Linked DNA regions of Oreochromis niloticus. The protein of the gene in region 2 interacts with the protein of the main gene of each other region in a biochemical or structural test. Links are inferred from orthologs where the notes say so. Each region holds a gene or a part of one and is shown on either strand. Other genes may lie near its edges. The genes, in order: nutf2, ran and ipo11.

Region 1 (3,753 bases), on a different chromosome or scaffold from region 2:
TTCACTTATGTTGGACAGTACTTATCTCTCGACAATCTTCATTAAATATGATGTAATGGCAAGTGGTCAATAGGCTTTAAATTCTTAATAGTGTTGAGGTTTTTGGTACAGGAACTAGACAGGATGTTTTCCCTAATACTGATATCATCTCCTGTTTCAAACGTTGGCTGTAAATGTGACTCAGGATCATGGGCAGCTGGCTAGCACAGGTCCTCAGCACCTTGGCGTTGATGTAATCAGGCAGTTTTGTGTAGCCTATTAATGGGAGAATTTTAGTATTTAAACATGTGTTACTTGTAGCTTGAGAGTAGATAGCAACACATGTAGTAAAATTAATTTCTTTCAGGACCAAAACAAGGAAAGCGGTGAGGCTCAGTGACGTTGTAGTCCATGCTCTGCAGAAACAGATAAGTTAATGTGCTGCTAATGGTAATATGTCCACCCCAGATAAGCACCTTTCTCTGCCAGTTTTATATTTCAAATGCTGATAGCATGTTTGAAAATGTCTTCCAATCTTTGACTGTTAAAAAATGCTTTGCAACCTAGGGCTCAATAAAAGATTCCCCAATGCCCTGATATTAACAGGGTTATTATATAATCTCAAGGATTTATTCTGAGAAGGTTCACAACCCATATGAGCTGCACTTCATTTGTAAAAATAATTCAGTAAATAGATAGATAGTTGCTAACTATAGAAACTAACTAAAATAGTAAGAGAATAGATTTATTTATTTCTGTGTCAGTGGTATTCATCAAGTGTGCATTTAAATGCCTTTTGATTGACTGTACAAATATAAGGAATCCAAGAACTGGCAACTGACAGTAACCCCTAATATTGAATAAAACTCAAACAAATTAGTATATTTTATTTAATTATCGAAACCTAATTTGTGCAATGTAGATCTGATGTTTTTAACAAACCAGGGTGTGTTGGTTTGTGGATCTATTTGCGGTGGCCTTTACTGCTGCTGACTGCAGAAATAAATCGTGTTTGGGTAAAAAGCTTTGCTTATGCGTTTTTTCTCAGTCTGGTGGACTCAGCAACCTAACCTAAGAGAACAATAAAGGCACAAGTTACAAATTACTAAATCTGTTTTGTGCTGCAAATTGATGTCATTTTAAAAGCTAATGTAATGTAAGTGTTCTTGCTGGACAGTGGTGACTGTAGCACATTTAATCTTTGTACATCAAATAAAATAAAACCATTTTTGACTTACCATTTTTATTGTCTGTTACTCCATGGGTTTTTATTGTTTTTTCACTTCAGAAATCATCAAAACGTGTGATTTGGAAATGACACACTTTTAAATAGACATATCTTTATATAGTATGTATCAGAATGTGGCAGTATTATGTCAAATGTGACAGACGAGCAAATTGAGCGTGTTTTGAGTATATACTACAATCCCCATAATGCATCGGGCCTTTTACGGCTTTTTGTACGTACCCTCGTAGCGGAGCAGACATTGCACTGTGCGATCGTGCAGCCGGCCTCGGCGTAAGAGGTAAGTTTTTATTACTAGTTTTTATGGTGCCCCCTTACAAAATAGTGAATGGAAACATGTTCGAAAACAAAAAGCGCTAGTTTAATCTGACATTTGAACAAGCCTGACGCGGTATAAGTTATTAAATCGGTTGCTATTGGCCGGTTTGGGGCTAACGACGGACACGCCTATGTAGAGTAGCTGCTTCGGGGTTCCAGAGCTGTGCGCGCGGGCCCGCAAGAGGTATGAACACTCAAAGCAGACGGGGTATTTTTAGTAACTGGTGAACAGGCTACTACCAGCTGGCCGATCAGCTAACGCCTGGAAATATAATTTATCTGACGCCTAACATTGGCTGGCGAGGAGACATGCTACGTATATGAACTGTCTGTGCTAGCACAGGCTGAGTCAACATTAGCAAACATGACACAAGCTAGCAGCAGCTAGTTAGCTAGAGTTAAGTAGTTAAAAATGAGCTTTTTCGTACATTAACGTTACTTGCTCATGTTTCCTCAATCTCCCTTTACTTCTGACTATATTTACGGGGCCCTGAACTACTTATGTGTGGTCGCAATTCGGGGTATGTTGCTCGCAGTCTACTGCTAATGTGCAGAGCGCTCGGATTGTTCCAGTAACAGCCGTGTATCGTTATGTGGGAGCACATGACTTGGGCTGTCAGTGTCACCCGAGCGGAGGGATCCGTTGCAGCAAAATATACTTTGGCTCATTCAGTATAAGTAATTTTAACCTTTATTTTTGTCAATGAAACAGGATCTATATGCTATTTTTTTGTGGTCTTTAGTTAAAAACATATTTTTCTTTTAAAAAATTTTAACAAAAATCAAAGCAATGTGTACTGTACAGTCTATTGTACTGTTCGCTGCTTTAAGAGCTTGATTCTATAAAACAACATCATCCCAGAATACTGTCTTGAATTATGGTAGTGAGGGCTGTCCAAGAGGGTTTTCAGAAATCTGAAGCTTATGTTGACATCTGGTGACTATAAATTAGTTTTGATATAAGTGGGAGGCTGCTGGTGGTGGTGGTGGTGGTGGTGCTGTTGTTGTTGTTGTTTTTTCTATGCATTGCCCTTTTTCTTATCTCATTACGTTTGTCTGACTCGCTCTCTCCCACACGCTCAGTGTGAGTTGCAGGGTGATTCAGGATGGTGGACCAGCCTTTGTGGGAGCAGATAGGATCCAGCTTTGTGCAGCACTACTATCAGATGTTTGACTCTGACAGATCACAACTGGGATCTATATATGTGAGTTGGACTTGTCTTATGTAGGTGTTTATGAGTAAACACTTGCTGTAATAAGCTCACTTTCCTTAATTTCGAGTTTGTAATCCTTATGATTTAGGATTTAGGTATTGTCCACTCAGGTCACTTTATGTATATGGCACATTTTAAAGTGTTTTACAAACACATAGCTTGCATAACAGACAGGCAGCATATTAAAATTTATAACTGAGAAATATGTCAGACAACAGTTAAAAAAAATAAAATATAGAAGTGGCAGACAGTTCGAGAGCCTAGGGGCAATATTTGCAAAGTCTTGGTCATTTTTAGATTTTATGTGAGAAAAGGACACCAAGAGAAGTTATTGTGATGATGACCTCAGTGATGTGATGTGGAGTTAAAAGATCTGTAATATATTTGTTGAGCTAATCCATAGAGGGCTTTAAAACAAATAATGTTTAAATATATTCAAAACTTTGCAGGTTGCCAGCGCAGCTTAGCTAAAACAGCTTTGCTTACTCGTACGAGTTGAGCGGCTGTGCTTTGAACCATTTGTAAATGAAAGAAAGTGCAATTGGGCAATCCTACACACAGGGAATTGCTGTAGTCCAGCTGAGAGGTGATAAAGGCATTGATAACTCTTTAGTTCTTTGGATACAAAACTAGTTTTCATTTGGTGATGGTTCTCAGTTGGTGAATGTTGTCAAGCGGCTTTTGACAAAATTCCTGATTTGATTGTTAAAAGTTAAGGAAATAAAAGCACCAAGATTTTTAATGACAGTGTCGACATATCTGGATAAATGAGCAAGTAACTCAGTGAAGATGTTTGTGGGGCTGGGAGGGCTGAATAAAATAGCCTCAGTTTTGCTGTCATTTAGTTCTAAACAATGCGACAAGACTGAGTCAGAAAACATGGTGAATGAAAAGAATAGTGTTTTCTAAAAAGTCCTTAGTTTTTGTGTTGATTTTTACCCAAACTCACTCCTGTCTACGTAGTAGCATGTTTCGTTTAGTTCACTTTTTTTTTTT
Region 2 (3,753 bases):
CTCGTCAAAGCTTGCAATATAAGAGTATATTATTTGAAATGTTTGTTTTAAAGATATTGACAGACCTGTTGCAAATTGAATTAACTGAATTGGAAAGGGGAAAAAACCTTTGAAACTGAGAAGATGTGTTTTGTGCTTTTCTGTTTATTATATTATATCAAAAACTTGACTCTTGTTGGACCAAAACCCTTACATTAAGTGAGTTAATGACTGTGTTTTTAATGGTTTATTAGGCTGTTGTTATACGGTTGTAGCCTCCATTGTAACTATTGCTGTTTGCAGTTGTGATGCAAATAAATTACTTTTAAATTTTTAGTCAATAGAAACAAAATAAATATAATTAAATATGGTTGTTCAGTGTTTACTGGATTATCTGCTTTTTTGAGTTGCTTAATAAATGAAAATGATTAATTAAAATGAAATGTTTTTATTGACTTTTTTTTTAAGGATTTTGCATTTTCACTGAATTGGTGTTTCAACTGACTTTCACCTGTGTCAAAATTAAAACGCACTTGTGTTTTTGAAGCCAGCTGTGGTAAACAGATGGTAGTTATAGATATTATTATTGTTGTTGTAGTACACAAAGAAAGAAAATAACTTTTCATTCACTGACTTTTGTGTGGTAAAAAGTGTACCAATATTACTTGGTCTGACCTACGAAGCATCTTTGGCTGTTAGTAGGATAACACTAAACATTTTGGGTATTGGGCTCTTTTGTCTGCCACATGTGCATCCAAAAGTTGTTCAAGGAAACGAGGACGTTGCTGCTATCCTGTGTTTTTTAACAAGTTACCTCAGAAATAAACAGCTCGTAACCATACACAGCTGCCCAGCCTTAGCTGCTTGTCTGTAGTGGGAAATTATGCTTTTCTAGCTGCATGTGAATGTCCTTTAGGGTTGGATAAGTGTGTTTAAATAAAGACTGAATGCTGAATCACGTTCAGTTAGGACCGTGTTGCTTCATGATGCGTTTTTGCCGCTGCGAGGGTCACATGATAAGGGCGGAAACTGACTCATAGTCCACGCTGAATCTCCCGCGAACGCAGCCATTTACTCTTTCCTCTCTTCGAAGTGTTACCGGTGAGTCTCTGAATTCCTCTCACAATGCGGGCTATCATATATTTCAAGTTTGCATTCTTTGGGGAGAAAAGTCAGTTAAAACAATGGGCAGCTTTAAATCTTTGTCTTGCGATTTTGTAGCTGTATCCACGTGAGGAATGGGGCAACCGGGGAAGGCCGGTGGTTTTTCTTATGCGGCTAACTAGCTGTTAGCTCGATAAAAAGAATGGCTTCCATGCTGTGCTAGCTAACAGGTTAGCATGCACGGCTATCCCTCATTTTTTTTCTGCTTTGTTCTTGGGACTCGCGCGTATTCCTGTAAATACATAGTCAGTATTTTTGACAAAATATATTGTGGATGCGTGGAGTTACATTCATGTGTAGGGTACTATTTAGGCTGGGTTTGACTTGAAGTGTAGCGTGGAACACATTAGATGGGCTTCCAGTCGGATTGTTTCAGTCGAACAAGAAAAAGTGCGCTCGCCCGTCGTGTGGCGCACTCAATCTAACGTTTTTAGCTTTCCTAGCTAGCAGCCGTTGGTGTTGAAATGCGCATTTAGAAGCGCGCTTTCGTAATTTTCCATTGAATGCAAATATACATTAAACACACAAAATGAATTAAACCTTTTTTCACAACATAGGTGCACCGTTACACGTTTACTCGTTACATGTGTGAACGTTAGCTTGGATGGAAAATGCTAGAAGTTATGGCTATGTAACAAGCTATGGAGTTTAGCTAAACGACAAAATCGTAGAAAACCGCTCAAAACACCAAAATAACATCTCAACAAATCATAGCTTATGTCATATTTTGTCTTCTTGAAATGCCATTTAAAGGAGTTGCTAGCACTGCTAGTTAGTGTTGACGGACAACGTGCTAATCAACCGTCCCGCCTCGTTTTATTTAACAGAAAAGTCGCAACCACGGCGGACTCAATGGCACAGTGTGTTCCGGTGGCGGTGTTTAAGGTAAGTGCTTGCAGTCTAAGATAAATTGATGTTCCATTTCTCAGCCTTTTAACTAAATGAAGCACCGCTGTCTGTGCTAACAACGGTCAATGTGGTGAACCAGTACCAACCAGTCTAGACTAACTGTACGCTCTGCATCGCAGTTGGTTTTGGTAGGAGATGGAGGCACCGGGAAAACGACTTTTGTGAAGAGGCATATCACAGGAGAGTTTGAGAAGAAATATGTTGGTGAGTACTCGCTTCCCAGGAAGGAAATCAGCTCATTCTTCTGGTCTCAATGAGTTAAAGATGCGGTGATAGATTTGAAAGGAGGATGTATGATGCCAAATGTGTTAAATGGAACTATAGGGAGCAACATGTCCTGCATGCCCCTTCCTCAGATAAAATATGACTGTCTTCATCACTGTTTACACCTTCCTTCTCCTTATTCATTATGTCTTTGCTTGAAATTTCAGCTACTCTTGGAGTAGAGGTGCACCCACTGATTTTCCACACCAACAGAGGAGCAATCAAGTATAATGTGTGGGACACAGCCGGTCAGGAGAAGTTTGGAGGCCTGAGAGATGGCTACTACATTCAAGGTGCTCCTCGCATCCTTCGCATGCTGCTCGAGTTTCACGTTTTTAAAATTCATGTACCTTGGCTTTAGCTGAACAATACGTTAATGCTTTCTTGCTTCCTCAACAGCTCAGTGTGCTATCATCATGTTCGACGTCACTTCTCGAGTCACCTATAAGAACGTGCCCAACTGGCATCGTGACCTGGTCCGTGTCTGTGAGAACATTCCCATTGTTCTTTGTGGCAACAAGGTGGACATCAAAGACAGGAAAGTCAAAGCCAAGAGCATTGTGTTTCACCGCAAGAAGAACCTGCAGGTAATAACTGCTTGCAAAAATGTGTATTTTTGAATTGCAGAAACAACTTTTGAGTTTTGTCATTTCTAACTGCTGCAAATTTTTCTATCTGCAGTACTACGACATTTCTGCCAAGAGTAACTACAACTTTGAGAAGCCTTTCCTGTGGTTAGCAAGGAAGTTGATCGGTGATCCCAACCTGGAGTTTGTGGCAATGCCTGCCCTTGCTCCCCCAGAGGTCCAGATGGACCCATCCCTTGCTGCTAAGTATGAGGAAGAGCTTCAAGTGAGTATCACTGTACAGACTCATTTGTGTGATTTAGATGAATTTATTGTAAATTTTACTTGAGCATCTTCTAAATGTGGAACAATCTGAGACTTGACTTTGTTCTTCCATATCCAGGTTGCATCACAAACAGCACTCCCAGATGAAGAAGATGACCTCTAACCTGTTACCTAGATTTGTCCCTCCCTCCTCCCCCACCTGTGGACAGGAAGTCGTTGGAGTTTTGCCCCCTTACTGTAAAATCCCTTTTCAGATTTTTTTATTTTTGAATTTTTTTTGTTTTAAAACTTAAGTAAAAAAGAAAAAAACTTGGTGGAAAAGTTGTGGTTCTAATTTCACTGTATGACACACACCCACCCTAGTGTTGTTGTTGGCATGGCAACGTGCTACTCTTCATCGTCGAGCACCCTCCATTGCACTTACCCAGCTCACATAATGCTGTTGTACGGTGTACTGGAAGCACTAAGGGGAGTAAACTTTGAATAAAAACATTCTCGATATAACACGGCCGTTTGTGTTGTGATTTGCCTGCACGCCAACGACTTCAGGTCACAGGGAGCGCCTCGTAGTTTAAAAAGTGGCTCT
Region 3 (3,753 bases), on a different chromosome or scaffold from region 2:
CCCCTGAGAAAAGCACAGGAGGACAGGCTCTGTCCCCAAACTCCTCCTCCCCATGCAAGACCAATACTGCTGAGGTTAGATCAAAAAGTAAATAAAGATGTTCCGCTCTCTGCAGTGAAACTTAACAACAAAACAATAAAATTATACTGAAATACAAAAAGGTTACATCCGTTGGACTTGGGATTACCAAGGCAGCCCACACATAGTACCTAAGGTATACACCAAGTTTACCTTAGGTACTATCACTTAATGAAAAACCTAAAAACCATGTCGAGCACTGCTGAGCTGACCTGAGTAGGTACTAATGGAAGGGCTTTAAGTGAGCATGTAGTGGCAAATGAAATAAGCCTTTGGATGAACAATGACGGCATTGTGATTTTGCCAGGCAGTTCCTATTAAATACCATCTATTAAAAATGTTTATTTAGGTAATATATGCTTTAATATAATAACTTATTTTCCTATTGTTAGTGATGTTATAGCACAAATTTCTGGTGAGGTGGAATACATTATTAAAGCATTACTGAAAGAAATTCTGATAACACAGAATCTGCATATTGACTCCAATCAGCAGCATTATGAGTTTGAGTCGTGCTCATCTTTTACTGTAATGTAATAAAATATCATCCATTTAGAAAACTCACCTGTGTGAGCTTCCTGGTTTGCTAGGACATTGTCTACTGATATAATCTCACTGTCATAGACAGCTGTTTTATACAAAGAAGGTTTACAGAGCAACATTTTAAACTATTTTGAAGTGATTTAAATATGGTTTCAGTGGCAATTTCCGGAGTGGAAACTGAATCTCAAGATTGTTTCAGGATTATCTAGCTTACTCTTGGTGGGTATTTTAGTTAAAGAAATCATTGAAATGGTGATAGTCAGTAGACCACTGTAATATACCAAACCTCTTTTTCATGACACATGATTTAACTTTTACCAGAAAAAAAAAACACCAAAAACACAAAGCACTTAGACAGTTTTTTGCTTTCCCTACAGTGACATGCAGTATGAGAATGTGCTCTGTTCTGATCACATACTGGGTTTTTTTTTTTTTGTTTTTTTTTACCACTGTAAGATTCACAACCTTAAACTTGTTCATCCACAACATCCACAATCCAAATCTGCATACCAGTATTTCACCACTACAGGAAAACCTTTACCCGAAAGGCAAGGATTTAAACATGGGCTGTTTAATTTCTTGGAATTTGAAAACAGCAGTTTCATCTGTAACCTAAGTTAAATTGTTATGCTGTCAGTTGGGGCTGTTTGATATATAACATGATATAAAAATGACATTAAAATGTCATATCGTGATATAATTGCTATTTACACTCCTTGGTGAGTGTAATGAGACAAAACTGAGGCAAGTCTGACTGCAGGAGCAAGACCAATGTATCAACCTCAAATTACTATTTAGTACCTAGGTAGCTACTTCAATAACCTTCAATAACCTCCAACAAAGCACAAAAGAGGGAAAGAAAGCTGTTCCCACTGAAGATAGAATAAACAAACTTGTTTTGCCACTTGAGACAAAAACAGGCCACTGAGTACAACCAAGCTACAAAGGAAGATATACTAGCACCTAATGATGTGTGACTCAAACAAATTACTCCAATTACCACTGTTGTAGCCCTCACTAGTTTACATGAAGAGGAAAAGATCGACGTAAAATTGCACAGTGGAAAAGCAAGGGGTTTCGCATTCTGTTAAAAAGCTCAACACAGGAGAGATCATCCCACGCAGAAAATATTTTCTAGTTTTATTATCTGACGATGCTCTGCAGTTTCTGAAGCGTTACAAGGTTAAGATACTTTATTTATTGTTAAGCTAAAAGTGTTACTTTTCTTCTTACATTTGACTTATGCTGTGTCACTGGATTTAAAGCTGCTGGCACCTTCTTTCAGTAATCACTCTAATCACTACAACAGCTAATTGGGAAAGGATAGAAAATACTCCTTAATTTACATACACTAAATGCTAGTACCTGAATATCGTGATATAATTTGGGGGTTATATCACCCACGCGTAAATTGCCAACACATGAGGCTAATCCAGCGGTAGGCAGCTAAATATTGTTTTGCACTTGCCGTAGCTTCTGTCGCTAACACTAGCTTGCTGTCAAATGTTGGCTCGGTTGACAAGAAAGCTAGGGTGGTAACTGCAGGGGCTAGCGGTACATTTACTGATTTACCTCTAACTAAAGCTACGGTAACACACGCCTGGACATTTTACACTATATATAGCTAAATGTGTCTACAGGCCTTTAGTCAAAGCATGGATTTGTTATGATTATACAAACGCAGTCGCTAACAAGTCTACGCAGTGGGTTAGTTTGTTTCTGAAGCACAGAAGGAACCAAAACAAGCTCAGTGCCGTGGGGTAATAGTGGGGCAGAAATTTTAAACTAATGCGATTCACATTTGACTTTTACTACTGCTGTAGGATTCGCAAATATAGTCCAACTTGCTGTAGTCTTGCCCCAGTGCGTGTCATGTATAATCAAAATACCACTCACTCACTAAAGAACCGGGTGGGCAGAGTTCATAATCGTGCATATACCCCAAAACACCAAAGCTAACTTTGGGCTGGCTAGCTAGCAAGCTTGAACTTATTCTATCCAAACCAACGTCCGTCAGTAGTATTTGTCCTGGCAACCAATTAAATATTTCTACAAAGATATATGAAACTGGACTCACCTAAAAGAAAAGCAGTAGAAAACAGAATCTGTGCTTGTAACAGTGGCTGCTAAAGCGCTGCCAGTGGTAATGTAATGAGAGCTGGAAACACACGCTTGTAGGAATGGCGCGGGGAGAACAGCAGGCGCGTGTTGATGACGTAGGATCAGCGGCAGGCTGCTTTCATCATGAGTAAAGAGAGCCAATCGCTGTTTAGTATACTGACACCAAAAAATCTGGCTGCTGAATTTTTGTATTTTGTTTGTTTGTTTGTTTTCGTAGGAAGGATTTTAAAGTTAATTCCGTCCTGAACTGGGAACCAGTGAAGTTACTTCAGTACTGGGGTAATATGTTCAAATTTCAATGCACCTGTAAGGACTCTGGCCACTGTATTCTGAACAAGCTGAAGTAATCCTACTGATGATTTGGCAAACAGATCATTACAGTAGTCTAGCCTGCTTGATATGAATGCATAGACCATTTTTCAAAGTCAGTCTCAGAAATATATTTTCTAACTTTTCATACACTTGTTAAGTGGTAGAAAGCTGTTCTGGTGACGTTATTAGTATAATTATCCAAACTGAGATCACGTTCCAAAATAATGCCAAGGTTCCTGACTTGCTCACTGTGTTCAGAGAGAAGAAGATAAACATGGACAAAATTCTGTATCTGACATTTTTGGTGTAATCACAAATTTTTCTGTCTTGTCTCTGTTCAGTTCTGAAAAGTTTCTATACATCCATCAGTTAATATTATCAGTGCAGCTTATTAAACTGTGAACAGTAGTTAGATGATTAAAGAAAATAAAAAGCGCAACTTTGTATCATCTGCATAAGAATAGTAGGACATATTATTATTCTTTTTGATAGTGCCAAGCACATACTAAAGGACATTTTAGTGTCTTGTTTAATATATCTAATCTATTTAGACTTGCATAGAGACCATGCAATATTCAGATATACAGTTTCATGATTACTTAAATTCCTGATTTCCTTTAATTATCTTTTTTTTTCAGTTCAGTACATTAGTTTTAGTACGTTTCCGGGTGGGCTTTCTCATTTCAGTTCAGTTTTTGT

The links.
Region 1: the proteins of ran (region 2) and nutf2 form a complex in vitro, tested with the Homo sapiens proteins (3 studies listed by BioGRID, with this or other methods). The link is inferred for Oreochromis niloticus from reciprocal best matches to the Homo sapiens genes RAN and NUTF2.
Region 3: the proteins of ran (region 2) and ipo11 form a complex in vitro, tested with the Homo sapiens proteins (2 studies listed by BioGRID). The link is inferred for Oreochromis niloticus from reciprocal best matches to the Homo sapiens genes RAN and IPO11.

What each region holds. Positions count from the first base shown.
Region 1 is NC_031972.2:6,987,392-6,991,144, forward strand, and holds the start of nutf2 (nuclear transport factor 2), read left to right. Parts: upstream 1-1,369; 5' UTR 1,370-1,505; intron 1,506-1,599; exon of another isoform or gene 1,600-1,727; intron 1,728-2,626; 5' UTR 2,627-2,649; coding exon 2,650-2,748; intron 2,749-3,753. UniProt on the Homo sapiens protein: Mediates the import of GDP-bound RAN from the cytoplasm into the nucleus which is essential for the function of RAN in cargo receptor-mediated nucleocytoplasmic transport.
Region 2 is NC_031966.2:22,420,100-22,423,852, reverse strand, and holds ran (GTP-binding nuclear protein Ran), read left to right. Parts: upstream 1-926; 5' UTR 927-1,080; intron 1,081-1,970; 5' UTR 1,971-1,995; coding exon 1,996-2,028; intron 2,029-2,171; coding exon 2,172-2,256; intron 2,257-2,483; coding exon 2,484-2,609; intron 2,610-2,715; coding exon 2,716-2,903; intron 2,904-2,997; coding exon 2,998-3,168; intron 3,169-3,285; coding exon 3,286-3,330; 3' UTR 3,331-3,671; downstream 3,672-3,753. UniProt on the Homo sapiens protein: GTPase involved in nucleocytoplasmic transport, participating both to the import and the export from the nucleus of proteins and RNAs. Switches between a cytoplasmic GDP- and a nuclear GTP-bound state by nucleotide exchange and GTP hydrolysis.
Region 3 is NC_031977.2:22,985,791-22,989,543, reverse strand, and holds the start of ipo11 (importin-11), read right to left. Parts: upstream 2,844-3,753; 5' UTR 2,699-2,843; intron 1-2,698. UniProt on the Homo sapiens protein: Functions in nuclear protein import as nuclear transport receptor. Serves as receptor for nuclear localization signals (NLS) in cargo substrates.